Lepisosteus oculatus: one gene and its partner. The protein of the gene in region 2 interacts with the protein of the main gene of each other region in a pairwise test. Links are inferred from orthologs where the notes say so. Each region holds a gene or a part of one and is shown on either strand. Other genes may lie near its edges.

What was found.
Region 1: the proteins of lgals8a (region 2) and apeh interact in binary tests that used the Homo sapiens proteins (3 or more experiments, as listed by UniProt). The two-hybrid records come from large-scale screens. The link is inferred for Lepisosteus oculatus from reciprocal best matches to the Homo sapiens genes LGALS8 and APEH.

Annotation. Positions count from the first base shown.
Region 1 is NC_090699.1:64,304,543-64,319,860, reverse strand, and holds the start of apeh (acylamino-acid-releasing enzyme), read left to right. Parts: upstream 1-7,933; 5' UTR 7,934-7,960; coding exon 7,961-8,161; intron 8,162-8,759; coding exon 8,760-8,889; intron 8,890-9,697; coding exon 9,698-9,824; intron 9,825-10,522; coding exon 10,523-10,610; intron 10,611-11,754; coding exon 11,755-11,830; intron 11,831-12,144; coding exon 12,145-12,236; intron 12,237-12,561; coding exon 12,562-12,639; intron 12,640-13,252; coding exon 13,253-13,390; intron 13,391-13,496; coding exon 13,497-13,588; intron 13,589-13,920; coding exon 13,921-13,961; intron 13,962-14,230; coding exon 14,231-14,352; intron 14,353-14,788; coding exon 14,789-14,849; intron 14,850-15,318. UniProt on the Homo sapiens protein: This enzyme catalyzes the hydrolysis of the N-terminal peptide bond of an N-acetylated peptide to generate an N-acetylated amino acid and a peptide with a free N-terminus. It preferentially cleaves off Ac-Ala, Ac-Met and Ac-Ser.
Region 2 is NC_090697.1:11,724,822-11,740,316, reverse strand, and holds the start of lgals8a (galectin-8), read left to right. Parts: upstream 1-8,958; 5' UTR 8,959-9,143; coding exon 9,144-9,182; intron 9,183-10,832; coding exon 10,833-10,921; intron 10,922-12,369; coding exon 12,370-12,580; intron 12,581-15,340; coding exon 15,341-15,460; intron 15,461-15,495. Other genes in the region: rrm2 (ribonucleoside-diphosphate reductase subunit M2), read left to right, coding at 3,428-3,520, 3,800-3,874, 4,269-4,409, 4,998-5,114, 5,255-5,388, 5,693-5,787, 5,898-6,031, 6,361-6,465 and 2 more.

The DNA of each region.
Region 1 (15,318 bases), on a different chromosome or scaffold from region 2:
AGACCTTTTTTTTTAATTGGAGATGGAAGTGTCTGGGGGTGGAAAAGAGATTAAACAACAGCAACAAAAAATCTTTCTATTGTATGCTCTGTTTTTTTCTTAACATTCCAGTGTGTAATGACCTTTTTTTTTTGAATGCAGACTTGTATTTTTGCAATGTGTCCTGAAGTGTAAAGTGGATTTCGGATGTGGAATGCATGCAGAAAATCAGAGAACTTTATATCTAGGACCTAACACTGTTCATTATCTGAAGCAAGGAGGCCATAAGACATTTAAAAAAAAAAGGAAAAAGGTTCTATAAGATTATAAATCAGATTGGAAGAAGGAGATGACACTGAATCTGGCCACACCATCCAAGACTTTCTGTATGGAAGGATGTTAAAGTGCAGTGTGGCTGGGTTGTCTTTTAGCCATTACAGAGCCATCCCAAAGCTCTGGGTTGTCAGCGTTTCGGACTTTTATTTCCTTTGTTACTTCTCGTGTTTGCCTGGTTTTCTTTCACGGAAAAGAAAGAAACAGCCTTAATCATTGCAGTTTTGTTTTTTATTTGCATACCTCACAGTCTTTTTTTTAAAAAACAAAATCCATACAATCTTGACAATTTATTTTGTTTGTACACTGTTTACTGTTTACTGTATGTACATATTTACAGATAAAACACAGGCTGTAATATTTATTTTTGCTTATGTTTTTTTTTCTGTTTTGGTTACATCGTCTTATTGTTTTATCATCATTATTATTTATTTTTTAAAAAGCAATAGTGTGCAGAAGATAGTAAAGAGCACAATCTTGTGTTTTAAGTCTAGGGCCTGGAATGTTCACCTCCAATGTTTACTCTGAACTGTGCAATGTACTAATCTGTACTCAACAGGTACGCTCTGTGTGATGTCATTCCATGGTCTGTCTGGATGCACTGCAACACAAAAGAGAGGTACCAGATTAGACATGCAAATCTTTTTAGGATTAGCTCTTGTTCCTTTACATTATTAGTAGCCATCTTCCACAAGATTGTAGTAGGCATCCGCACTCTTTATGTTCTTAAAAGTCAGACTTTCCATTGGCCTAGAGAGAGCTATCATCTTGGAGTACCTAGTGCAGCAGCAGGGATTTTCTACTGGATATGCACCCCTCCCACTTCATTTCATCCCCACCACAGGACTTTGGTCAAGCGAAATATCGAAAGGAATCGATTTCGGAATTTAATCCAATAGATTTTCGCTCCAAGTAAGGGGCGCACAAAGTCCTGTGAGCAAAACATTCACACAGCTAGCTGAGATATCCAATTTCCATTCAAAATCTGGCCAAAGCAGAAGGATCCTAGAAGACTTTTTTTTTCTCTCTTATGCACACAATTGAGTCCAAATGCGAAGTCGGAGTTGAGCACAAACCGCAGTACTTACAGACTCCCAAAACATCTGATCTCGATTAGTTCAGGGAGGAAACAGAGACTAACCTGAAATTTCATTTGCTTGCTGAGACACGTTCAGTAAACCTCTCAGGTCAGTTTGCTCCTGCTGTTGTGTTGTAGATCCGCTGTTCCAGTTACCCTTGCTGCAGTTTCACGATCTGGGCATGCTGCAGCCGGTACCATTGCCACTGAGTATTTTATTTCTGTTCGTGTGCTTCCTTTCATCCAAAACGACAAGCAGACAAAGGGTGGTCAAAAGCAATTTCCATTTCCAACGTTCTATGCAATGATTCATATTTGAAAAGAAAAAAATGTTAATATTTAATACCACTATCAATGTTATGTTTAAGATTACGACGAAAATCGTGTTTCTGAGGAAAAACAAACTGGATAGACTCGTTTGTATTTAGCTACTTGTACGTATAGAATTTAATTATTGAATTTGTTTTTTTTTTATTTTAGTGGCATGTTCGAGCCCCTCACTCCCCTCTGTGGGACCCATTGCCAAAGGGTTCACTGTTAGTCTCTCATTTAGGTCTGTCATCTTGTAGCTTTGCGCATGGGTTGCTAGATCAGATTTGTTGTGCTCAGGTTTCATGTCTGCAGGGTGAATAGTGTTCTCCACTACAGGGCTGCCTGTCTATGCACTTGTTATTTAATAAAACCAAAACAACATCCACAGATGAATTCTCCACACTGAGAACTCCCTGCCTCAGAGAAAGGACAAACAGTAGATCTGACAGATCCTTTTATCAACGCGTACCAAAGCAGCTGACCTCACAGGCCTCTCCTGATGGCAGAGCCCCAGATAGATCAGAACTCCGCGGCAGTTCAGTGGAGCTTCGTGAAACATTTTTTTTCATTAAACGAAACATCTGTAACAAAGAAAAAGATGATCCACCTCTGAGTCAGGACATTCTCTTGAAATTCCATGCTTTTGTGCTCTCGTACAAAAACAGATAAAAGATTGTGACTTTAGATATACAGGAAAAATTTTACTTCTTTGTAGCCTGAAAGATTTGCCTCATTTTTGTAGCCCTAGTTTAATTCATCTGCCTGATACCCTTTTACCTTGGTGTAGGCCACACACTATTTTATGTTGTCTGATGCCAAAAAAGAAATGTTAATACTCTCAGCTGCATGTTGCACCTTCTTGTGAAGTTTTCCTCACGGTCAAAAGCAGACCTAACTCAAACCAGTGCAAAATAATTTTATAGCAGTAGAACTTCTTACGAAGGGATGTTGGTGCATTTCAACATTGCAGCCAGATCAGGCCATTCACAAGCATGTCCGGGTTTAGCTACAGTGTGTTTTCTGGATGGTATTTCCAACAGTGATTCGAACAACAGCATTTGTTGCCCATCATCCTACTTGCTTATACAGTAGCCTTTAATGTCCAAAGTCCAAGGAAAGGAATAGCTTGGTTATGTGATATGGCTCATGGAGTAGGCAGAGCAAGGCCTGTGGAATCTTAAGAAGCTTGCTTAAATTAAGGAAGTAGCAGAGGAGATGTCATTAATTAAGCCAGTAATGCTTAATTTTGTATTATTTATTAAACAGTTGCTTGTTCAATTAAAGTTTAACAATGCCTTCTATCTTTAATGTTTAACAAACAACAGGATTCATAGGACGGCAACAGAAATAATAACACTGCTCAAAGAAAATAACACAATTACCCTTTTATACTTCCTACACAGTGTCAGAAGAAAAGGGTTCTGCAAAAGCTGGCTTTAAGATTACTTGAATAATAAGTCATCTGGGTTAAAGAAGGGGGAAAGCTATTTCATATTGTTTACACTGTCTGATTGTAAATGGCATTCATTTTATTTAATGGAACTTCTGCATAATTTATCACTAATTTAATATGCAATTGCATCAGAATGAATGTTAATTTATACATGCAAAATAAAGCATTACCATTAAGTTTGTATTCATTAAGCTCCTCGTTCCTAATATTATCTTAGCACCCATTCTCCTAGACGGGGTTGAGCCATAACAGACAAATTAAATCATTTCTGCTTGTCTTTCCTTAAGATCTTTTTTCCTCACATTGCCTTTGTGCTGTAGTAAAATGTACTGTTTCAGCACGTTTGAATTGTGTTAAAACTGTGAACTATTATATAAACATTAAAGCTATTGCCTCTATAAAGACAAAAAAGACAGGAACAAATTAAAACTATCGTTAATGAGTTTTAGCAATTTTAGAGATGAATTTCAATATTTATCTTGCTGCATTTCTTTTTAGGTAATTCCAAATATTTTGGCATTAATGCCACAGTACAGTAGGATGATTGTGAAGTGATTTATATTGACAAGTTACTTAGTTGTTCATGAGATGTAATGAAAACTGTTCTTGGTACAGTATCTCTGGAATCATCATTGTTATTAATATTGTTATGGATTAGATACATTTGAGTTTAAATCTAGAATGACCCACCATTTTAATCTTATTCTTAGCAAAGGTTTGTATAATAAAAACACAAGCTATATTAAAAGAAAAAAATGAACAGATGCACATATCCATCTAAACATGTTACCTATATCATAAGTAAAGAGCTGGTTTTATAGTAATCTATTTATGATCATTGTGATTATTTTTAATTATTATTCAATAGGGCATCTGCATGAATCACAGTTAATCTACTGTAAAAAATCCCTTAGTTAAAGCAAAACAACCTATGCACACCAGATATTCCCAAACTGCTAAACTAACTGCTGACACCTTTGGAAACTTACCGAGTTATCTTTACTATTTCACAGAATGGTTTATGTGAGATCACCTGAATTAAAGAAATATCTGTACAGAGTGACACAAAATCACATTTTCTCATTATAATCCTCACGAATAGCTTAATATAGATGTATGGAATGTTATTTCCTCATTATTTCCATCTTATTGAATGCTACTGCATAATCATTCACCACGAATGTCTACAAAAAAACTAACTATGCAAGCTTCCATTGCTTTTTACTTAAATGTAATGAGAATGCTACAAAACAGAAAAAAAGTCATATTAAGAATGAGTAGGCTATCTTGTCAACAAGTAGGAAATAAATGTTAAATAATGTTGTATAACCTATGGAAAACAAAAGCAAAAATTCACATGTCAATAATACAGGAAATACGGTTTAAATCTATACTATAGTGTTTTTAATACTGCTTTAGAAAAATCCAAAATTTGAGAATCATGTAGAGTTTTTTTAATCTGAGTATGTACAGTATAGTTCCATAGTTGACACCAGTAACTTGTAGTTACAGTGTAATAATACGACTGTTACATGTTGCTATAGAAAGTAGTACTGATTAATGAAAAGGAATAGTTCCAGAAGCATCGGATTGTTCTATTTTAATACCATATTGCTCAGATTACCCTTATATGATTAATGTTACTTTAAAAAAATAATCAATTTGACATCTATTGATGTTTGTTACAAATGAGGATATTGGAAAAAAAACAATCTCAAGCTCTTATTAACATCAAAGTGCTCCTATTAGATTCACGTGTAACTACAGTATTCTGTCTGTATCCACATTTTTCATGTAGTCGGTATACTGGTATAATTCAATTGAGAATTAATCTGTAACATATGCTAAAGATAGTATTGCATATTTAAGATATATCAACACTGGATTTGGGGTAAGATTCTGAAAACAAATGATTCAGTAGAAATTAAACTTTCAGTGGAGTTTGGCATTGTCCTTTTGGCTCAGGAAAGCACATTCAAAAACAGTTTGAACTGCAACAGAATATGAGGGTTTGATGTATAACAAGCAAAGGGCTTTTTCTCAAATGGAGGATGGAGAGATGTATTACCAATAGATCAGTAAAGCCTTATTTGCTCTGCCAGTGTTCCCAATTCCAGTAAGGCGGTAACACTTGGGATATTCCTATCCAGGGTCTCCAGCAGTGTCTTTAAACATCATGTGTTTTTTTTTTCAGTATAGCACTCTGGTCTTTTATTCACGGCAATGAAACAAATCCATTTTGCTTTTCATCACCCGTGTACTAGCTTTGACATGCCACTGACAGGGTGATGGTCCTGTTTGCCGAGACATGCTACAGGACCATCATCGGAGTGTCAGATCATCTGTGTGGCCGGTGTTTAAAGTTAATGAATTCAGAACCCTTAGAAAAGACCATGGCAACCTACCCCCTGTCACAAACACATTGCCTGCACACGTTTAGGCAGGGGAAACCATTATTTTTTTATTTTCTCCCCATTTAATAACAAGTGCATGACCTAAAGCAGCCACAGGCACATTTCCCCCATTTTGGAAAATAACTGGCAATCATTTTCACTGTAAATAACGGCAATGACAATACAGGTCTTGTACAGCGTGTAAATGGATCACTAACGTGGGACGTTTTGTGCGTCCCTTGCTAGCCAACCTGCCAATTTGTGCTTTTGTGTATAAAAAACATAAAGCATTTGTGTATGTGGCTGGTTCATATCGACTGTTGAAAACAAAAGAACTTGTATTCAGAAACATACTGGTCTGTGTAGAGTTTCTTTATATGTTGTGTTTGTATAATGAGAATACTTCCTTAACAAAGTTATCCTGGCTTCCATGTATTTTTTTGGGGGGAGGACTTGGGGGGTGGATGTGGATCTGTAAAAAAACTATAAAAAATGAAACAAAATAAACAAAGTTACATTCACTGTTGTAAGTGCAATGAGCTGAACATCATGTATCCATTGTAAACTCTTGTGTATGTTTCAATGTATTCCTGTAAACAGTTGTAGTTAAATTTGGTGCATCATGTCATGTAATGTGATTAATGAGATAATGACTCTACAATACATTTCCAGCAGGAAAAAAATAAAGAAAAAATGAAACCTATCGATTGCTTCAGAAATAACTTTTTTTTGTAAGCAGGAAACTGCTTGAAGAAGAAACTGCGTTTCTTCCTATTGCTAATCGATGCAGTGAAGACAATAACACAAATGTATTCTTCACATGGTCTGCTCGGATTCCTTCTGGAAAAGGAGCAGTGAAAAAGAAACGATCAAGGGCATGCCAGCATCCCTGTCATCCTGCAACTTACATCCGCCAAGCCCACTGGAGCTCAGCACGCGTGAGGGTGGCCAGTACCTGGATGGGAGACCACCTGGGAAAGCTAAGGTTGCTGCTGGAAGAGGTGTTAGTGGGGCCAGCAGGGGGCGCTCACCCTGCAGTCCATGTGGGTCCTAATGCCCGAGTATAGTGACGGGGACACTGTACTGTAAAAAGGCGCCCTCCCACTGTAAAAAGGCGCCAATTTCCCATTGGCCTTGTGAAACATTTCGATCATGGCCTCCTAATAATCCCCATCTCTGAACTGGCTTCATCATTCTGCTCTCCTCCCCACTGAGAGCAGGTGTGTGGTGAGCGGACTGGTGCATCATCCAGGTGGGGCTGCACACTGGTGGTGGTGGAGGGGATCCCCATTACCTGTGAAGTGCTTTGAGTGGAGTGTCCAGCAAAGCTCAGTCCTAAAAACTGTGTAGAGTACTTCTAAACATACACACAACGGAATAAGGTGCATCGGTCATACAGCGAAGTTTTAGCTGAATCAAAAGAAAGGTTATTTTACATTAGATACATCTTTTTTTGGTTTCCTGTTTTTTTAGATAAAGAAGCTCAGTCCAATTAGGTGCAGAGTTTTATAAATCATAAAACCGATTATTCAAAGCACCTGTACGTTTACCGATGGATTGATTGAGCAAGCAATCGATTCGATTGAGTGAACCCAGGTCCATGAAGACTTAATTTTGTCCCCACATAAAACTACATTTCTTCATTTTATACAGCGCCCCAAATTTGTTCACAATTTTTAGAAATCGATGATATAATGATGACCTACACGGAAGGTCACAGGTGAAATTAGACCTGTCCTGTAAATAGGGCGTAATCATAAGACACCCACATGGGCGAGGGAATCCGCCACTTCCTGATCGGGACAGCCCACCCGCTCTGCAGTTCCGTAGGAGAGCACAGTGACGCAGATCTGAAATAAATTCATGTACCAACTTCACGGTTTACAGGCTGTAGTTGATATCAGTCCATTTTTGGGAAATAACTGGATAATCCAAATGTTATGCTTTGAACGTCGGCTATAGTAATATGATTACTCCGTTTAAACTTTTCCTTTCACCTATTTCCTTTCCTGCGTTGGTACAGTCCACAACTTTCGTTTCAGTCACGCCCTTTTGGAAATGGGACTACATCATTGAGTTTAATGGGAGGGGGGTACTATTTATATAGAAAGCTTTTGGTTCGTTGCTAATGATTATATTGTACTCACAGAGTTGCGTCTTTTATGTATATTTAATGCTAAATTATGATTCAAACATAGATTGTTATATTTTATTAAAATTTACTTAGGTCATTTTATTAACCCCCCCCCCCGCTTTTTTCTGCATAGTGGAGGCTCGTGTACAGTCTGACGGCAGTATGGAGTCTCAGGTAAAGTGGTTTAGAGTCGAAATCACAGTAAATTCATTGCTGGGTTTTTATTTCGTTATGTGTAATGCACTTGTCAGAGTTATTTTAAAGACGCAATATTAATTATGTATAGTTCTTATTTAAAGCAAGTTTTATTTCGTCAAATCTCGACAACTTTGTTTCAGCGGTCATGTCACTGCGGACGCAGTGTACATAAAGTAGTGATAGGTTTTTCTAAGAGAAACGTTTTTCCCCCTGGTATGTATATGTCCTATTCCACGGCTGGGCATTTTTCTTCCCAGGTTTCTTCTGCATTAACCCATAATGTAAGAAATATTTCCCGGTCGGTTATTGTTTTGTTTGACGCCATTTGCAGCGATGCAATATTTGGGTTTGGTTTTGCTTCAACGGTTAATTCGGGACGTGAACTAGATACCCCATTCAAAATCATTTGATAAAACTTTCAGGTTTTTTTTTGTACATTTGGTATTATACCGAGGGTAAATGTCGGGAAAAAGTCTTTGTCCACACCCTATGCTTGTAAGTTAGTATTTTTTCCTGTTCGCTTCCTGGTAAACGGTAATAAACGGTAATAAACGGAATATTGTTGCCATACCGGCTGTTTAAAACCACTTTCGTCACGACCTCTTAATCACTGTTGATTTTTAAGATTTGGCTCATTAAGTCGCAGTTTGTTAAATCTGAAATAACGATTTTCCATTTATCATAGGAATCTTAAAAATTTCAAAATGAAAATAACCTACAAGTTAAATAAAATAAGATCCTGTATTTTATTAATTATATTGTTTCTAGGCATAAGCGGCAACACTGAAACTAAAGCCTGTTACGTAGTAGTGTTCTTTTATGTGCTTTGGAGCGGAAGTAACGTCATTTTTCATCCTAGGCCGGTTTTTCCCTCAACAGGTAATCACGAATCCAGAGGAGATTGTCAACATTTACAGAGAGCAGAGTCGGTTCCCGTCTCTGACAAAAGCCTGTATCGGACCCGTGATTACATCCCAATATGGGGGAAAATACTCTAATATCTACACAGGTGATTACTGTATTTGATACCAATTTATGAAACCTAATGCAGACATTTATATTATAGACCTCACCAGCGTTGCCAAAAACAGATCACACATACCATTTTTTTTGCATGTTTAATGCATGCTCTGATGATGGTACTAATTAAACTAATAAGCCTTTCATTGAAATCCACCAAAGTATTGCCAATGTGGAGACCAGTACATCTAGCATATAAAAAGTTAGTAAAGAAGATTCTGTCCAGGCAAACTCTCCTTGGCTAGTTACTTGTAGCAGAAAGATCTAAGGATTTCATTCATCTGTTTCTTTAAAAGATCAGGTGCAGTAATCTCATTGTGTTCCATATGCTACCACTCTGTGTAAAGAAATGCTTCCTATTCTTTGTCATAATCATGCTACATTTTAGTTTAGTTGTTCCATTAATCATGAAGTAGTCCCTTGGATTAATTTTGCCAGTGCCATTTCATGTTTTTAATGCCTGATATGAAGTGTCCCCTGTCTTAAAATTATTCTAACTTGTGTTTGCATGACATAACGTTTAGAGCAGGAGTTAATCTTCTGCAAGCTGTTTTTCGGGGACTGGTGTTTTTTTTTTAATATGGTCATCGGAGTTCTCCAAAATGCTCATAAAATGTAATGGTCCATTTGTCAAAATGAGTGAAACTTTATAATGAAATGAACCTTGAAATTAATCTTTTCCTGCTACCATCTGTGTAAATCATGGAAGACTGAAGTATTGGACCAGTTCCATAGTGTTCAAAATTCTTCACAGGAATAAAAAAAAAAATGTATTGCCGAATTTCAATGTCTTCCAGAATGGACCCAGTGTGATCTGGAACGGAACGAAAACGTCAAGTTCTGTCGACAGTACATCGTGTTTCACGATGACAAATCCATTGTCTATTCTGGACCATCAGGAAATTGCACAGAGATAAAGAGAGAGTACGTGTCTTCATTTTCTTTATTATGAAACCAGCGGTCTGAGGATGGCCCAAGATTGCCATCTTTCTAATAATGCATTTCCCTTGATGCTGGACAGCATTCAGTGGATCGTACAGTACCTGCAGTAGCTGAAATGCTTTCTCCATGATTGTTTTTCAAAATTAACTGATGAAAAACTTTTAGGAAACCTGGGATTCATTCAGTAATTGCAGAACTATTTCTAATTTAAGGCTCAATACGTCTCAGGCCTCAAACCTGATCAGAAAATGAATGCTAATAATTCAACTGATCTAATTTCTGACCACATTCTGTGACCCTCTCAAAAAATGTCTGCAGGTGTCACACCTGAAGAAGGCTCCATAACCGAAACGTTGTGTTTTCTTTCTTCCTTTTTTTTCAGCATGGACTAAACCTATTACTTGTTCCTTTTTATACTCTTGCCTCTGTATATGTTCTGTTCCGGTGCTTGTTTTTTTTTTAATTCTTCACTGTATTTGAATTTATTGCCAATAAAATCTTACGCTGCATTGTATAAACTGTGGTATTGTGGTATAAGAATATCCATTCTTATTAATACACGTTTTCAATACATTTTTAAATCAGTCTCTCAGCATTATGAATAAATAACCCCAGGATTTTTTTATAGCTGATAAATCCTATTTCCTCATTGATAAGAGTTTTTTTGTTGATATTCCCAGGCTTCTGAGTGCAGACTCTCCTTCAGGAGTGATGAAGGCTGTCATCCGGGAGTGCAGCATCAAGGGAGAGGACAAGCAGTTCCTTGAGGTTAGATAATTCCTTACACTTATTTAGCACTTTTCTGGACACTACACTCAAAGCACTTTACAGTAATGGGGCTCCCCTCCACCACCGCCAGTGTGCAGCCCCACCTGGATGATGCAGCAGCAGCCATAGTGCACCAGTATGCTCACTAGACACCAGCTATCGGTGGGGAGGTGAACAGAGTGATGAAGTCAATTTGTAGATGGGAATTATTAGGAAGTCATGAGTGGTAAAGGCCAGTGGGACATTTGGCCAGGACACCGAGGTAACACCCCTGGGACTCCCTGGGATTTTTAATGAGCACAGACAGTCAGGAACTTGGTTTTACGTCTCATCCGAAGGACAGTATACTGTCCCTGTCACCATACTGGGGTATTACGAGCCACACTGACCGTAGGGTGAGCGCCCCCCTTCTGGACCCACTAACGCCTCTTCCAGCATTAACCTTAGTTTTTCCCAGGGGGTCTCCCATCCAAGTACTGGCCAGGCTCACACCGGCTGAGCTTTAGTGCATTACTCGTTGCAAGTTGCAGGGTGATATGGCTGCTGGCCATGTTATAGATGTGTCAAGGACACTCTGGACTGTTAATTGCAGTTTGAACACTACCACAGACATTTTTAGAATGCATCTCTCGTATTCCAGCTCAGATGAAATATTTGCCAATGTAATCATGCTAAGGACGTATACCAGTATGAGTGGAGAAAGGTTTCCTCAAGGCACCACTTGCAGCTGAGCAGCATTAGCGGTTTTCTGCCTTCCCATAATTCATTCTGGCACCCTGAGTCTGTACGTGTGCACAGAATAAGCTGTCAAATTCAGGTTTATTTGTGAGCATAATGGTAAACTTGGTTTAGCTTTAATGTTTTATATTGGTTGTTATGCTGCTTTCTAGTGATGGATTCCCTTGTTTTTTTAACTCAGTGATGCTGTCAGAACCCCTGTGCTCCCACTTCTGTCCACTAGAGATCGAATTGAAGTGTGCATCGTCATGCTGCTGTGTGAGAAACATTGCCACCTGCTTTCTGCACGTACCTGGTGCCGAATGACTTTGAATCCTGGGAGAAATATTCTAGAATACAAGTTTGACCAGACCTGCAGTGCTTATGTGAGCTTTGCCACACTCATCGAGTGCATTGTTTCCCTCAGATCTGGAGCAAGAACTGCAAAGTGAAGAGCATCAATCTGACTGCACTCAAAAAACACGGGAAAGTCTACGAAGATGGTAAGGAGCTAAAGATTTTTTCAGAAGCGCACTTTTTCAAAGTATGGCTTTGCAGTGTAGTAAGAGACAGGCTTATGGCCTTTGTACTGGACCACAGCTCCTCACAGCAACCTCTGACCATCCATGGTCTTCAAACATGTGAAGCACGGCAATGAATTTTAAGGAGGAGGTCTGATGTCACAGCTTAAGTTTTGCTTATTTCCCACGGTATCATAAGCACACTGCAAACTGTGCATTGGATGTCAGTTTAGCAGTTCTGTCTGCAGATCTTTCAGAATGCTGTGGGTTTCTCACAAACTTCTCATCTCTTCCAGATCAGTTTGGCTGCCTGGTATGGTCCCACTCGGAGACTCACCTCCTGTATGTGGCAGAGAAGAAGAGACCGAAAACGGAGTCCTTTTTCCAGGTCTCATAAAGGTGTCATTTGAACAATTACAAAGGATGTTATTACAGCAATGTACATTGAGAGGCTCTTTCCCTTTTTGGTGTCTCTGCTTTTGCGAGAAAACTCTTTAGTACCCACTTTATGTGGCTTGGCTCGGCTCCAACAGAGTTGTTGGACATGCAGAAGGAGCATTATGGATCCATGAGTCTTTCACCCATCTCTCTTTTTCCACTTTCACCCCTTTTCTCTTTTCGAGCTGCTGAAAAAGGTGGTTGGTAGTTTGCTGTGTAGTTAAGGTAAATTCTGTCATTCCGTTAGACCTTTTAATTTGTGTTGCTCCCAACAGACTGAGTCGCCGGAGACCAGCACTCTGGGTGTTGAAGAAGAGGCTTTGAAGGCAGAGAACAAGGAGGAAACCGTGAAAGTAGGTGCAGTGCCTTTATAGTTTTTTCTTAGTAGGTTCATTCTCTGTATAGGAACACAGGGAAGGTTGCAAACGAGAGCAATCCATGCAGCCCATCCACCCCAGTTGGTAGTTAGTAGTTAGGTGATCAAGGATCTCTTCCAGTGTTTTCTTAAAGGAAGTCGCAGTTTTATTTTAGCCACATGAATGGACAGTTTCTTCCACGCTCCCACAGCCCTATGGGTAAAATGTTTCCTGTTCTCGCTTTTAAATGCGCTTCCACACAGTTTACACTTGTGTGCTCTTTTTTTATTTGATTACTTGTATCGCGTCCCTTGTTGTCTTCTGTTCAGCCTGTCAGTGTACAACCGAACTTGACGAATAGAGAAATTCCTCAATCACATTTTGGTTAAAATTGCTCTTATTTTATTTTCATGCATTTCGGGAAACGTATTTGAACTGAATTTGAAGATTAGGCTAAATGGTTGTGATACTGCTAGCAGCTTTAGGTTAACAAGAACTATTTGAAGCCCTTGCCCCTCAGTTTTAGGAGGATATTTCAGTTTCACAGCTGAGGAGGCCTCGGTTTTCTCTGCTTCCATCTGTAGCTCTTCCCCGCCCCCCTGTTTTTTAGGGTGACCAGTTCGTGTTTTATGAAGACTGGGGTGAAACCCTGGTGAGCAAAAGCACCCCGGTGCTCTGTGTCCTTGACATCGAGAGCAGCAACATCTCTGTCCTAGAAGGAATCCCCGACAACATCTCTCCAGGCCAGGTCTGACTTGGGGTTCTTTATTTTTAAAATAACGCAGTAGAGTGAACCTCTTTTGTGTGTGCAGGGAATTACGGCCGCTACTTGTGACAGCGTCTCTGTATTTCAGGCTTTCTGGGCCCCCAGTGACACTGGTGTGGTGTTTGTGGGCTGGCAGCATGAGCCATTCCGCCTGGGTCTGAGGCACTGTCCCAACAGAAGGTTAGCACTGTCTGACCGAAAGCCATGTGTTAGCGGTTCCTACTATCGTAACGGAAAATGTGAAATTATGTGGATGAGAGGAGGTTGTGTGGCCCGTCTTGCTCATCCAGTTCACTTAATGATTCAGGAGGTCTCTAGATCGTTGTCACAAGCCCCTAGGGACTGGACAGCATTGCGGTTTGTCAAATGTATTGTAGAATATTGACCGTTTCCTTTAAAGTTCTTATCGTCATTGTCTTTATGCGGCTTCAGCTAAGAAATACTCAAGAGAAAGAGAAACTGAACCTGTCATACTCCAGGTGACACAAACTGAAGCTCGTTCTGTATTTTAGGTCTTCCTTGTTTTATGTGGATCTGACTGGTGGCAAATGTGGTAAGTGAGGTAATCCCCTTTTGGCATTGTCCTTGTAATCTTTTTTTGCATGTGGCTTTGCTGCTAGGATTGTTAAGTTTTATGGACAGAATGTCATTAGGCAGAGGTGTTTTCCATTACTGTGCTGTAACACAATTAGTTTTTTTTTTAATTAGCTGCTAGCGTGCAGAATCTGAAAGGCCAATACTGTTCAGTCAGCTATTGTGGTTGCAGAGACCTTTTCATAAGCACTGCCTGTAATGTGCGCATTCTCGTTTTTGTTGTTGCAGTGCAGCTCTCTTCAGACACCAGCGCGGTTTTCTCTCCCCGCCTCAGTCCAGACTGTTGTCGGATCATCTATCTGGAGTGTGGAGTGTTTGGGCCACATCAGCAGTGTAACAGGCTCTGCATGGTCAGCTTGCTTTAGAATGAGAGATGTTACTCAGTGATGTTTAATAGCTCGTAAACCGATAAATGGATTCCTGTTGCCTTGCAGTGTCAGATGGTTGTGCCTCATACTTATACTGCAGCATTGCTGATTGACAGAATGGGTTTATGTATTCATCTCAGCTTCTCTGAAGAGCTCCCCTGTCTAAGCATGTGTAGATAAAAGCGATGCAAAGTTTAATGTTGAAACTACAGGTATTTTCAATCCGCAGTAAAGTCTTGTGTAATTATTGGCAATATGCGCAAGTGGTGTCCCCTTAATTTCCTGTTTAACTGAATTTTTTTGTTTCTTTATGTAAAGGTCAATATGGGAAATCTCTAGAAAATCATGTGGTTGGGGAGGTGAGGGGCGTGTTTGGATTTGTAGTTTTCCTGAACATTTTTTTTCCCCTCATTTTCAGTATGATTGGTACACAAAGCAGACTAAAGTGGTGGTGGACGTTGTCGACAGGCCCACATCAGGTAACCTTGGCCGAACCTACCTTAGTCTTTCTGGTGCTTTTTAATTGTACGTAAAAGCAGCGTTACTGCCTTGTCGCAGGATTCGTCCCTGCTGTTGCAGTAAGCGGTGTTGGTGGACCAGAAGGTAGTGCTCTCCCCTCTAGTAACCCATCAAATGTTTTGCATGTTTGCCAGTGACGATGTACTATGCTTTAGATGAGGCATGAAGTCATGGTCCTAATTACTCCATTATTAAAACTCCCATTTCACTGTTCTTAAAAGCACAGGTGTTAAAACCTGGTGTCCTGACTATGTATCACACTGAGCATGCATATTTCAGCTGCTGAAGTTTGCACCGTTCTACCTGATATGCTCTATAGTGATACTGCAGGCACTACTATGCCTGTGAATAGTACCTGCTGAACTGAATCTACAATTCACTGGTAGATATGGGGCTCTTTATGTGTACAGTGCTTTGAGATCTTTGCGA
Region 2 (15,495 bases):
CCTCCTCAGTCGCCGCAGGAAATAGAGACGCTGCCGTGCTTTCTTGGCTAGGGAGGTGGTACTGAGGGACCAAGTGAGGTCATCTGTGATGTGCACACCAAGAAACCTAGTACTTCCACCCGTCTCCGCAGGGGAGCCGTTAATGTACAGTGGGGAGTGATCAGCGTGAGCCCTCCTGAAAACAATTATCATCTCTTTTGTTTTATTTACATTAAGAGACTAGACCATAACTGATCAGCCTATATTCCCACAGCAGTACCTATTAGGAAAGTTCAGGTACTCTGACACGGTACTGATTAGCCATAGATTTCTCATGGCATATACTATAAGTTTCCTATATTCTTCAATATTCTCAAATATCAGAGAAACAATCCGCAAGCCATGAAAAACGATTAAGTTCGGTTATTATTACAATCAAAATGAATCCCACGGAACTTGACAGGGCAGAAGAGACCATTCTGTCCATCCAGTGAAGCCGGCTGCAAGTAGCTGATTGATCCAAGGAATCCATCCAGCCGGCCTCTGAAAGGAATGAGGGTCAGCTCCAGTGACATGACTGCACAGCCTGCTCCAGGGACCCCTTACGATGCATTTCCCCTTAGTCTGCGTTTGTGTTCCCTGGTTTGTGTTTCAGCAGCTATATCACCCTGCAGCTCACAACTGGCCATCCACTGGGGCTCAGCAGGTGGGAGCCTGGCCAGTACCTGGATGGGAGACCTCCTGGGAAAAACTAAGGTTGCTGCTGGAAGAGGTGTTAGTGGGGCCAGCAGGGGGCGCTCACCCTGTGGTCTGTGTGGGTCCTTATGCCCCAGTATAGTGACGGGGACACTATACTGTAAAAAAGCGCTGTCCTTCAGATGAGGTGCAAAACTAAAGTCCTGGCTCTCTGTGGTCATGAAAAATCCCAGGGCGTTTCCTGAAAAGAGTAGGGGTGTTACCCTGGTGTCCTGGCCAAAATACCCCCTGGCCTTTACCACTCATGGCCTCCTAATGATCCCCATCCATGAACTGGCTTCCTCACTCTGCTCTCCTCCCCACTGAGAGCTGGTGTGTGGTGAGCGTACTGGTGCACTATGGCTGCCGTCGCATCATCCAGGTGGGGGCTGCACACTGGTGGTGGTGGTGGAGGGGAGTCCCCATTACCTGTGAAGCACTTTGAGTGGAGTGTCCAGAAAAGCGCTATATAAGTGTAAGCAATTATTATAATTATTATAAGCAAGGCATATTGGTATACAGTACAATTATTGGTCGAATACCATCAGGCCCTGGTGAGTTGTTGAGTTTTTAAGTGTTTCTAGCACGGCAAACAGCGGAGCGATTACATTAACAGTTCTCGCTGGACTAACCTTCTTGCTCAATGGTGAATGAAATGGCTCCCCCCGGCGGCAAGGAATGGCAACTGCAATCTAGCCTACTGACGGCATTGCATTTAAAGTTGAACATTTGGCCTAATAATAATAAACTTGTTATATATATATATAGCGCCTTTAAAAGTGGTTTATCAAGCGCTTTGAGAAGCGGCCTAGAGCAGCTGACGGTAATCGCCTGTAATAATAATAATAACAATAACAACAATAATAGCGTTGAGTAGCTAATGTTATGCTTTGTTAAAATCTACATTATATTTAGTTTCATGCATTTAATTAATCGAGGTTCTTTCTGTTGTATTGTACGGCGAAATCGTAATGAAAAAATGTCGGTAGTTCTGAAGCCAAGACAAAACCCCACGGGCTGCCCGAAAGGCCTAACCGTACTTTCGGTGCTTTAGTTTAACGTGTTTCCAGCACGTAAGGACACTGCGATACAGAACATGACACATGCAATATGAAATAAAGATGATCGTGTAAATAACTCAAAATGCTACCAGAAAACAAGTGCGTATTGACCTGATCCTCCACCTTGTTGTGACTACTCATAAGTTTAAAAAAAGTCTTCGAGGTTTAAGACTATATACATACTGTACCCGAAACGCATTTGTTTTCCACGATGTTGAAATTCGTGACACTTGAAAGAGACTGGTTGTCTTTTAAGAAATAGTTCTGTAACTGTTGTTTTAACCCAACCTTTACTCGTTTGTCCACGGGTCGAGGTGATGCAGAGCATGACTGAGGATCGTTTATTCTAAATAAGTTACTACAGTAAATAACTGTTTGGCGTCGAATTTCACAAAGCAAATTCGGCAATTGTGGAGTATGTTTTTTTTATTATTCACAGTTGGATTAGTTGCACGATTTGTCCTAACAGTCAACTATTTCTCGACTGCTTTGCGTCTGCTTAAACAATGTTTTTCAGTTCCGCTTGGATTACATTAACTGTATGTGAAGTTAAACAACCACAAAGTATTTTCCTTACCCGATTGATTTGACAAGCTATATATATATAGTATGCACCGGTAAGACATTTAAAATTATTTAGTATAACGTGCCCGTTGAGGCCTGTTTATGTATATTGGACAATATCAGGAAATGCTTTCACGAGAAAAAATATATTATTGGATCCCATCAGTACATAAACTACATTAGTAATATATTTCTGAGGGCTATTCATATATCTTATTTTTTACTTAAAAGTAGAAATCGGCTACATCGGATGTCGATGTTTTTTTAACATTTTAGCGGAAAACTGCGTTAGGTTAATTTAATAATTACCCCCTGCTTCTTCACAGATAAACACAATAATAACAGTTCAAAAGTGATTCAATGATGAAGTGCGGATGTTTTTCACAAAACGTACTAAGATTTAATTTCATCATCTTTTAACAATGCAAGTTATTAAACTTAGTAAACGTCCGACATCTTTTAAAATACAAACCGATGCTTTCCTGATGGCTTCGTTAATACAACAGTTGCCTTTTTATGCCATATGTTTAAAACAACAGTTTTATAACATCCTTAGTTTTATTAGATAATATTTAAATTGCATTGTGTAACTTTTTAGCGCGCCTTTTCATCCAGGTTACGAAACATTTCCCGTCAAAATGACGAATACCTCAACAACCCACAATCCGATTGGCTACGGGCTGTGTGCGTCAGCCTCAGGCCTCTCTGATTGGCTGTGTGCCGAGCGCTGCACGTGGTATTGTTTTGATTGGCTGTTGAGTTGTCTTCATTTTACGCATATCTTATTGGCCATCGGCGCTGTCATTCATCCTAAGACTGATTCTATTGGCTGTGAGCTCTGCTTTCTTGCTGATTGGCTGTACGGATTCCGGCGCCAACAGTTGAACAGATAAATTCACCGAGAGAAACAACCTCCTTTATTCCCCTCTTCGGCATTTGTAGTGCAGGTTTAGGGTGCAGTTGCTAGACTTCGTCGTTTTACACGATTAATACGAACCTTCGGAGTTTATTTTAGTTCGTCGTTTTAAGATCGTCGCTTAGTATTTCGTTTTTTTTTTAAGAACTCTTCTTCATCCCGGCAAACAAAGATGCTTACCGCTCGTTCTCCCCTCTCTGCCAAGAATGAGAAAGTGATCGTTTCCAAGATGAGTGCGGCTTCTTTAACAGACAAGGAGAACACGGTAAGTACTTGCATAGGTGCTGGCAAGCGAGGTATGTACTCGCTGGTGTAAGAGAAGCTCACGTCGTGTAACCCAGATCGGTTTTTGTCTTATGGCGGCGCTTATAAAAAAAACAACAACTTGGTGCTGGTAACTCCCGGTGCGCGCACTAAGGCTGCATTTATATAGACTTAAAAAAAACTGTGTGACTTCAGATTAGAAGCAACCCGTTATCTTCTAGTCAATTGTTGAGCGGGTTGGTGACTAACCGGGATTATTTTGTCCCTCTACTCGAATAAGCCTCCGAGCCTCAGCAGTACCAGGGTTTTGGCGTCCAAAACGGCGAGGAGGATCTTCGAAGACGCTGGGAACGAGGTGAGGCTGTTAAAAGATGTTGAAAACCTTCTCCTGTGTGTGTGGGGTGTTGGCGCCAAACGCAGCGCAGCTCTGCCTTGTGTGGTTATGGGAGGGGGAAGGAAATCGCTGCGCGGCGCTTTTAGACTCGGCGAGTAACTCGCTGGTCCTCTGTTACTGACGGGTAGGTGCGGCTTCAGGATATTTTTTTTCACTCCGGCGTCTCGGCCTAAACGTCGGCTTCCCGCGGTATGTCCTCTTTAGTGAGGTCCTCCGTGTGTCCCGGGAGCTCCGGGCTTGAAGTCCTGGCCGGCTCTCGGCTAGCTCAGCCCCCTCCCCCCCGGGTGTACAACCGCGGGGTGACGTGCGCCCGTCCCCCGTTTAAGTCGCTTCATTTCGTTTCCTCTCGCTGAAGCCCAAAGCGGAGAAGAGGACCGTGGAAGACGAGCCCCTCCTGAGAGAGAACCCTCGGCGGTTTGTCATCTTCCCCATCGAGTACCACGACATCTGGCAGATGTACAAGAAGGCCGAGGCCTCCTTCTGGACCGCGGAGGAGGTTGGCGTTTAATGCTCACTGTGTCCTGGGTGTCCGCCTTAATTCCGAATCGCTCTGCGATGTTGGTTATAGTCCTGTGGGTTTTATGGGGGGCCTTATTGATGAAGACCTGTCAGGTTCCTAATTAAGCAACTGATTAGTCCAAGTCGCTCAGGGCAAGGATGAAAACTACATAGAAATCCAGGGACAGCCATTTCAAACCCCCTGCTTTAGGTACTATGGGGAATATTTTAAACAGTGTTGCGTATTCACTGGTACCTGAAAGAAATCCTAATCCGTTTATCTGAGACCACCTGTTTAAACAATTTTGCTTAGCTTTGAGCTTAATAAACAATTCTTAAACTTGTGCTTGAGTGGGGGGGAAACTTGCATTCCGCAAAGAGGGTGTGACCTACAGTTGCAGGCAGCAGTGGTGCAGTTCTCCGTCTCTGATGGTATCCACCAACTTAGTCCCATGTGGAACTGCTTAGTTCACCACGAGTATACGGACCCCTTTCCTGGCAAGTGGTGTAGGAATGTGATCAGTCTTCTGCAGCTGTGTCGTTCGAAGGCCGTCGAGAGGTGTCTAATCGCCTGTACTTTTGCCAGGTGGACCTCTCCAAAGACCTCAAGCACTGGGAGTCCCTGAAGGACGAAGAGCGGTACTTCATCTCCCACGTCCTGGCTTTCTTCGCCGCTAGCGACGGCATCGTTAACGAGAATCTGGTAGGATCCACAACCGCACCCTGCTCTAGATGTTTTGTTTCACAGTTGGCATTTTTCATATCGGCAGGAAATGTCTGTAAGTGCGTGCAGACCCCAGACCAGATCCTCCTGTTTCATTCAACTCTTTCTCCCCCCTCCAGGTGGAATGCTTTAGCCAGGAGGTTCAAGTGACTGAAGCCCGTTGTTTCTATGGCTTCCAAATCGCCATGGAGAACATCCACTCTGAAATGTACAGCCTGCTCATCGACACGTATATTAAAGACCCCAAAGAGAGGTCAGTACAGCTCTTGCCTCTCCTCTGGTACAACCTGCAGTTGTACACCCAAGCCAGAGTTATTGGGCTGCAGTTCCTGCTGATGCTGACCCATTAAACAGGCCACACAAGCCCCAGTTAGTAGTTAATTGATCCCAGGGTAGCTTGTTTTATACTCCACTTAATGACCAAAGTTGTGCACTGTTATCAGTGACACTCCAAGCACTTCTTGCTTTCAGTTGCTCCCCATGTTGACCTAGAAGATGTAGGTCAAAATGTGCTTTTGCCAACTGGTCTTGTATTGAAGGTTTTGTTCTTTTTGCAGGGAGTTCCTTTTCAACGCCATTGAGACTCTGCCCTGTGTGAAAAAGAAGGCTGATTGGGCTCTGAACTGGATTGGAAACAAAGATGCTGTATATGGTATGCAAGGTTTATTGGGAGACGTGCCTGTTCTAGCACAATGATCTGCCTTAAACTGTCACTTTTCACACCTGTCCAATCTCATTGTTTTTTTTTTTTTCCCTGTACAGGGGAGCGTGTTGTGGCCTTTGCTGCAGTAGAAGGTATCTTTTTCTCTGGGTCATTTGCTTCCATATTCTGGCTGAAGAAGAGAGGCCTGATGCCAGGCCTCACCTTCTCAAACGAGTTAATTAGCAGAGATGAGGTGAGTTTTTTCTTCCGAGAGCCTGTTTATTCCCCCCCAAATCCACAACCATAATCTATATGCGTATTCCTAGTCTATAGTGACATTAGCATGCTTATATAGGTCTCTCTGTTCCTTCGGCTTTGCTCCTTTGCTTCTGGATTATGCATAGTTATTCCGACCTGTGAGCTGTCGGTTAGATGCCTTTCTCAACAGTGGTGCTCTGCCTAATTCAACCTGCAAGTTTCTTTTTAGGATTCCAGACACCTGCTGTACAATAGCACACAAATTGTACTCCATCCAATGCTAGCAAATGAATCATGCAGTCTTGGTTTTTTTTTCTCTCCTAGGGCCTTCATTGTGACTTTGCCTGCCTCATGTTCAAGCACTTGGTACACAAACCCTCCGAAGAGAGAGTCCGTGAAATCATTGAAAATGCCGTCCAGATAGAACAGGTGTGTTCCCTTCCGTTAACCCGGGCTGGGATGTTATTTTGTTCTGTTGGCTGATCCCATGTGTTTTTTTTTTTTTATTGTATAGGAGTTCCTCACTCGAGCTTTGCCGGTGGACTTGATCGGCATGAACTGCACTTTGATGAAGCGGTACATTGAGTTTGTGGCGGACAGGCTGATGCTGGAGCTGGGTTTCAGCAAGGTAATTCCTTCCACTTGTCTAGTGCTTTACTGGTCATTTTCCGTTGCGAGTTGCAGGGTGGTATGGCTGCTGACAGCACTCCTTGACTATGAGGAGCTGTCTGAAAGCTGCCCTTAACAGGTTTTGGCACTTATTTTGTAAATGGCAATTTGTGTCATGATGTAAAAGTCTGTTTTAACCCATTTTACAAATCTGGGTAAAAATTTACTATTTGTTTGCCAGTGTTTACTGCAGTGCTCAGTTTAGCTTACTAAACTTTAAAGCTCGAGTTTATAGCCTTATGCTGCTCTTCAGTGAAGTGCAACTGTCTCCACAGATCTACAGGTCTGAGAATCCTTTTGACTTCATGGAAAACATCTCCCTGGAAGGAAAGACCAACTTCTTCGAGAAGCGCGTAGGGGAGTACCAGAGGATGGGCGTCATGTCTGCGCCGACGGACAACACGTTCAGGCTGGATGCCGACTTTTGATGCGGACGAGCGCGATGGGTGATGGGACTGTATGCATTAGCGCATCCACAGAGACGGGACCGATGCCCAGAGACGCCTCTGTTCCCGTATCGCTTGTGTGTTGCCGTGAAATAGGCCACTAAAGCAGACCGTTTTGCACAACCTCCCTGGAAACGTGTCAAAGGGATTCAATTGTACAGTTTTTAATGTTTTATGTAAATGGTTATAGTTTTATATTGGCTTTATAATAAAGGCTGTTTAGAAATTCCTTCTGGGTTTAAGGATCTGTGTCAAGCCTATGCTCCTTCCTCAAGGATACAGAGGAGGTTCTGTACCTGACTTTACTACACTGTGGTTATAGTAAGAACCTTTCAGTTTAACAGGACATGGGTATTGGGAGGGCTAGTACACACCAGTTAGTACAATGCAGTGATGTTTTGTAAAACGTCTTGCAGATGGGAGTATCGGCTCCACTTCTTCCAGTGGAGCTGATGGCAGAGCACCCTTCCAAGTCTGTAGTAATAGTCCTGCCACTCAAGGCTCCCAGCACTCCCTCCTTCTAAACAGTCTCCGTTTTCTCCACTTGTACCGTCTTGCCTGGTCTCTTGCCTACAGGAGGTTCCCAGTAAGAACACTCAATGCTGCTTTTTTATTTAGGCGGTTTACTGCAGCCTTCTGATCCACTGTGGTCTCGGATCTATGCTTACCACTTTGTGCTCTCAAACGTGGCAAAACAGGTGTAACATCCTGCACTGCTTCAGACTTTACAAGTTGTATGATGACTAAATCTTAATCTGTCCTTCGCCTCAACCCAAGAGCTTTTGCGCTAAGAACTTGAGAGTTTAAAAGCAAGTATATTTTAGCCTCTGGGTCCGTGGAGTGTGGTTTTTGCAAATCTAATCCATGAAGGAATATCCAGTTGCAGAGCAGTGATTGTGTTCCACTGCTGTGATACTAGAAGTGTAATTGGTTATGGTAGTACAAATCATGAAAGTTGTTTAATGTAATTCTGGGTTTAGCTGTAGTCCCTGATTTGGGGACTTAAAGTACTTGGGTGCTGGAACCCCTTGAGTAAGCAGGGAGCTGTCTGAGGGTGGGATATAAGTCAGCTGAATAGAGGGAGAAAGAATGCTGTTGCACTGCCAAGGAGATGAGCAAACCCAGGGTAAGGCTCATGGTTGGCCCACACACGAAGGTTTTCTCCACCCAATTAAGAATAATCAATTAAATTCGGCCGGGCTCGTGGTTTAGCATTTCAGGGGTGTTTTTTTTTTTTTTCACAGATGTGATTAAAACTTAGGAATGTTAAGCGGAAAGTCGGAATGAGATCTTGAAAAGGCCACAGTTCTAGCCCACGATGTATGGTATGAGGAAGCACATTCAACCAAGCTTGAACCTCTACAGTAAAACAACTTTGTGGGTGTTACTTCCTGAACAGTAACTGTCGGGATGGTTCCTGACCTGATGGGCTGGGACGTGAAGCAGTTATGAAGGAAAGATGAGTCTAGCAAAGACAGGGCTGGGACTGGCCTTTTGATATTTAAAATACGAACAATATAACCAGAAATTAGGGATCCAGGGAAGATTTAATAGTCAATTTCATCGATTTAAAATCAGTTTGCCGGATTAATCACCTAATTTTCAAGTACCGACATTCGTTTGAACATTTCTGTAGACATGTTTGGATTTGAGCAAACCAATAGCATTCCTATTGTTTGAAAGCATTTTGAGAAAAAGAAAAACACCTCACGTTTCCTTTCCAGACGGATGTGTTTTACCCACAATCTGATTATTCAAGTGCAAAGCCACATGGATCTAAAGCTCATTTTCGAACAGCACGATCACATGGTGACATCTTCCCAGCATCAACAACCTGCCAGGGAGGACCTTCAGCCACGATTGGCTGATAAAATTCACTCCGCCCTCCAGGTCTGCGAAAGAGGAAGTGAAAATAAGGCGGAATTAAAATTGCGTGCAATTTCGTGATATAAATCGCTGGACCAGGGCACGTATTCACTCAGGACAGGAGTCATGTCTGTTACGAGTCCCAGGCAAACGGTTTTAAATCCGGTAAGATCTCTTGCACCGCACTGCGGGTGTACTGCACAGCACCCAGTGCCTCACAGCTGCCCTGTGGTCGGTGACGCGCAAATGTCGCTCTGTTCTTTCGTTTTGGGACCGCCGGGTGTGCTGCACAATGTTATATATTTTAAAATAAAATTAAGAGAGATGCTTGGCGAGATCGTGTCGCGTCGGGCGCGCCGGCCTGCGTCACTCGAGCAGACCATGTTGTGCGGCATTGCTGTGGAGATGAGCTGAAAGAGACGATTATGGACCGAGAGATAAGAGTCAGACCGTGTTCTCCCCTACCCACTTCACTCCTCAGCAGAAAAAGAAGTGGAAAGTGAAATCTGTCTTGCTTCATGTATTAATGTTTGCTGGAAAGAAGTAAATTCTGTGTGCACCCCACACCGTATTGGGAGCCAGGTCATTAAATGAGGTGAAAATGCAGTAGATTTAGTAGTGTCGCTTCTCTAGATTTACCGTAACGCCTCTTTAAGTCGTCGGCTGGTTTATTTCCAGTTTGCTTTAATTGCATTGGCTAAGTCGTGGTTTGCAGTTTCGTTTCTGAGTTAACTTCTACTGCATTGATTTGAGAAACCGCGACCAGCTCATCTGCGCTCAGTCTGTATAGAGAAACTGCATTATTGCCTCTTTTAACATTCGGATTAAAATGGCCATTTTTCGTTGTACCTGCCACTCATGTCAGTGGTTTTGTAACAGTTTAATGTATTACAGACACTACAGCAATTATGGGGTTTAACGCATATTTATTTTCATTACAAAATGTTACTTTAAAAGGCTTTACTGATAACACACTGTATAACCGAATAATAAAACAATTCAAACAGTATAAAGCACATCAGACATAACTTATTATACATTAATTATCCAAATATTAATGAATTAATCAGATATGAATTAAATTACTCTTTTGAAAAGTAATCACGCGATGGGAGTTTCAGAAAGGTGAATTATAAAAGAATAGCTAAGATATTTCACCAGACATATCTTATTTGGCTCGATTTTAAGGTCGAAATAGAATTTATTCATGGGAATTGTCTTTCAAATTCGGGGCTGTATGAAATTAGCTTTCTGAGATAATGGATACACAAGAGGGTGTTCTGATTGGTAATGTAGCAACGCCTTTTGCGTTTAACAGTTCAGACCGGAGCAAGTCCATGCTGTCGGTGACAGTCACCTGAGTCCTAGAAAAGAAACTAGTTTCAAATTCCAAATGATCCCAAGGCAAAGGCGAGCTTCAAAATAACGTTATATACTCAATTTCATTGTCTTTAAAAAGAAAAACATGAGGACAACAAAGAAATGAATTCAGTGAAAATACATATCTCGGAGTCTGATACAATTGTATTTGACGTTGCAGAGCTTTGATGACCAGATGTGTATAGAACAGTTGATTCAACAGGGTGGAATTTTAATTTTTAATGTGAAATTCTTGAAACAGAAGTCAGGTGTCATCAGTGCCAAGTAAAAACCGAGTTTCACAGCACTCACAGAAAGAGCCCACAACAGACAAGAACCCTTTGAAAATATGTGCTGACATGATTTAATTATTGGTAACACGAATGTTTAAAATTGTAACCATTGGATGAAGTATTGTGGTATGAGCGTAAGATTGCGCATTCTGTGTCATTATAGGCAATTCCCTATGCTGGGACAATACTGGGGGGACTTCATCCTGGTGATATGGTACTTATCCAAGGAGCAGTTCTCAGTGATGCTGACAGGTAAGCATTTCTTTTGAGGAAATTTAGCAACTAGTTTGCTTACAGAAAGTCCACACTGCTCGCAATCCATGATTGTTGCCATGGAGACTTCTGAAACCCCTTGTTAGTATCAATCATGAGAAGCTGCTGGCAAATACAACCTTTTATCACCAGATAAGAATCTGAACTCAAAATTAATAGAGATGTTTTATTAGCTGAATGTTTGCTCTTTCTAAACTGAAAACAGAATTAGCTTGGGACAGAGACAAAGGTCACTTATGTGGACTGCTTTTGCAGCAGACTTCAAAGTAAGTATTAAAATTCACTAATTCTTAACATCTTTGTAGGACTGGCCTGAATAAAAAGGCAAATTTAGTTTTCTTACGGATTCTGGCAGTGAACTCTCAGTGATTCATTGGTCTCTGTCACTCAACAGAGAGCGCAGTTCAGCGAATGACACTCGAGTGGCAAAACCAGGCGTGTGCATACTAGTGGCACATGAGCTGTTCTCTATCATCCGTCACAGGTCTGGTGATGGAGTAACAAAATCGGAGTCAAACTTGACAGGACAAATATTTCTTAACAAAACAAAACACCATCTGTACGATATGCAACGTTACACAACATACACCAGTTCATCGATCTCATGTATTTAAAAGACCACGTGTTTCAAAGGCTAACGTCTTGTAGACCTGGAAACAGGGAATTCTAGCCCTGTAATCTGGAATCAATGCCTAAACGGACCAAAAAGAGGAGAACCCAGCATTGCCTGGAACTTCTCAGAAATAAATCTTCCCTTTTATGACCATGGATATGCAGAAGTGGGAATCATTTCCACAGTCATTTCAATGAATCGGAATCATTTCCTGTTCTAGAAATGCATCGCCCAACCGGGAGAGAACGTTTTTAGTCCGAGGATTCCACAATGCAGGAAATCAGAATTTCCCAAAATAACCGGACAGCAAGATCTCTAAAACAAAGTTCAGATAGCTTATCCAGAGCCTGGTCTCCAAGAGTCATCGTAACAAGGTCCTCTCACATGACACAAGCTTCGAGCGACAGGAGGGTGATGGTGTTGTTCCTGTGTTCCTTTGATCGTCTGTGTTTACCTTCCTCTTAGCTCACCTTCAGATAGGCAAACACTGCAAATGCTGAAACGATGTAGTGCAGTCACAGTGTTAACTGCAAACGTGAGAGACTCTGATACGACAATCTAATGGGAGATAATGGTGCCTGGCTCCAGCATGATGAGCATTGTATTCATTGATCTGTTGATTGAGGAATTTGCGGCCCAGTGTTGTGTGATTTGCTGCCGTATTGGATTCGGGGACAGAATGAACAGCTGGACTCTCCGCTCGCCGCAGGTTAACAGTGCAGAACCACCGGTGCAGGTGATCTCCTCGCACGTACTTGTGGCTTCGCATTTCCAGCGTCACCCCGGTTCTTTCGCCCCCTCCCTCCCTGTCCAGGTTTCAGGTGGATTTTATGTGTGGGAGCAGCACCAAGCCCCGTGCTGACGTGGCCTTCCATTTCAACCCCCGGTTCAAGCGCTCCCCCTGCGTGGTGTGTAACTCGCTGCAGCAGGAGCGCTGGGGCAAGGAGGAGATCCTCTACGACTTGCCCCTCCAGAAAGGGGAGAACTTCGAGACCATCATTCTGGTGGAGGGAGACATGTTCAAGGTAAGATGTCCCTGCCGGGTGGATTCCCAGTGTAACATCTTAATGATATATAAATATCCTTACTCTTATACAGCGCTTTTCTGAATACTCCACTCAAAGCGTTTTACAGGTAATGGGGACTCCCCTCCACCACCACCAATGTGTGGCATCCACCTGGATGATGCAACAGCAGCTATAGTGTACCAGTACACTCCTCACACACCAGCTCTCAGTGGGGAGAACAGAGTGATGGAGCCAGTTCAGAGATGGGGATTATTAGGAGGCCATGATTGGTAAGGGCCAATGGGAAATTTTGACCAGGACTCCGGGGTAACACCCCTACTCTTTTCGAGAAACGCCCTGGGATTTTTAATGACCACAGAGGGTCAGGATCTCATCCAAAGGTTTTATATCTCATCCAAAGGATAGAGCCTTGTGTTAAAGTATAATGTTTCCATTACTAACTGGGATATTATGACCCACACATACCGTTGGGTGAGCGCCCCCTACTGGCCCCACTAACACCACTTCCAGCAGGAACCTTAGTTTTTCCCAGGAGTCTCCCATCCAGGTACTGACCAGGCTCCCACCTGCTGAGCTTCAGTGGGCTGCCAGCTGTGAGTTGCAGAGTGATATTAGCTACTAACTACTAAACAGGCTACAAACGGGTATCCTCTCCTCTGATTAATAACCGTTCACATGTTCTTAGCCCTGGCTGACTGTTTCTTTCAAGAGATTGATTGAAACATTGCTGGTTTGTAGCCTGTTGCTGCTGGACGAGGTATTAGTGGGGCCAGTAGGGGGGCGCTCACCCTGTGTTCTGTGTGGGTCCTAATGCCCCAGTATGGTGACGGGGACACTATACTGTAAAAAGGCGCCGTCTTTCAGATAAGATGTAAAACCGGGGTCCTGACTCTCTGTGGTCATTGAAAAAAATGGTCAATAAAAGTGTTACCCCGGTGTCCTGGACAAAATGTCCCCCTGGCCTTTACCAGTCATGGCCTCCTAATAATCCCCATCCATGAACTGGCTTCATCACTCTGCTCTCCTCCCCACTGAGAGCTGGTGTGTGGTGAGCGTTCTGGAGAACTGTGGCTCATGTCGCATCACCCAGGTGGGGGCTGCACACTGGTGGTGGTGGAGGGGATCCCCATTACCTGCAAAGAGCTTTGAGTGGAGTTTCCAGAAAAGTGCTATATAAGTGTAAGGAATTATTATTATTATCTCATATTGAAAGAAACCAAAGTATCAGCTTCACATATATGGCTGTGAAGCTTGTTCCAGACTCCCACAAACCTTTGCGTAAAGAAACGCCTGATAACATGCCTGCAGCTGACATCCACCCAGACTTCGGTATAAATGTTTATTCGGCGGGAAAAAGCCTGCCGACAATGAGCTTCGTCAAAACAGCGGTTTTCCCAGTTCCCAACATCTGGGTGGAGTTTGTTGTGTTGGAGATTCATGGCTCCAGTTTCAAACCAGCAGCAGGAGGCACGTGCTTGTACTCATTAGGAGTACAGTGGGAGAGGTGCCAGGTGTTAAAAAGCACTCCCACACGGGCTCCTCTAGTTTGTGCTTTGCTGTTCGTCCTGAAGACGTCCGCTAGGTTGACTCTGTCCCTGTCTTTGAGGATTGTGACTACTTGTGTCCGTCCTCCTCGTGGGCTTCTCCGTTCAGGACTAAAGAGGTTCAGTTCCTCCGGCCCGTCAGCGTAGGCACCGTCGTGTCCAGGGTGCGCTACCAGGGTAGAGGGGGCGTGAGTCGGGTCCTCTCGGCGCGCGGCGCTACGGCGGCTCTGGTGACTTGGCTGCTCGGCTGCAGCGATGCTGCTGGGAGCTGCTCTCCCCTTCGGCCCCCTGCCAGGAGGTGAACGACTCGGACAGGTGAAGATGTAAGAGGAGCTTGTTTGCAAGTGCTCATGTGCCTTAAAATAACCAGTCCATTGCAAATTTGGCAGATTATACAGTATGACCAGAAATAATTCTCCAATTTTATAAATAAAGGTTGGGTGGCATGTTGGCACAATGACTGAAATGACTGCCCTGCAGCGCTGGGGCCCTGGGTTCAATTCCTGGGGTGCTGTCTGTGCGGAGTTTCAGTGTTAGTGTGGGTTTCCTTTCAGGGACTCTGGTTTCCTCCCACAGTCCAAAGACATGCTGGTTGGTTAATAGGCTTCTGGGAAAATTGGCTCTAGGTGTCAGTGTGTGTGTGTTTGCTTCTGTGTGTGCCCTGCAGTGGACTGGCATCCTGTCCAGGGTGTATCCTGACTTGTGCCAATTGCTTGCTGGGATAGGCTCTGGCTCTCTGTGGCCCTGAACTGGATAAAGCTGTTAGAAAACGAATGGCCGGATGAATAATGGTCCTCCTACAGATTCCTGCCATGAAAATGACACAGAGATGATGAGCGACCGAGCACCAAGCACAAAATGCACAGCAGTAGTTGTAGGGAGCTGCGTCAGCATGCGCAGGCTGCAAAGGAACAGGTAAAGGTTTATTCCGTTCTGAAAAGAAAAGAGACGCAACATGTCGGCTGTGGAGCCTTCTTCAAGTGAATTGGATAGAGTGGTTAGATAAACCTTTATCCAATTTAGCCTTCTTCACACCTGGAGAAGGCTCTACAGCCGAAACGTTGTGTCTCGTCTCTTTTCTTTTCTTTCCAGCGTGGAATAAACCTCCACCTGTTCTGTTTGAGACTCTCTGCTGCTGTTCTGTAGGGTAAGCCATGCCTTCTTGGCTCCCAGCTGTGAGAGCGGAGTGTCACTGCTGTGCCTCCTCTTCCAGGTGGCCTTGAACGGGAAGCACCTGCTGCAGTACAACTACAGGGTGGACCTCAAAAAGGTGGACACGCTCGGAATAAGTGGCAAAGTCAAGATTGAGGCCATTGCATTCGTTTCAAGCTCTGTAAGTAAATATTCTTGGGGTTTCCTTCAACAGTA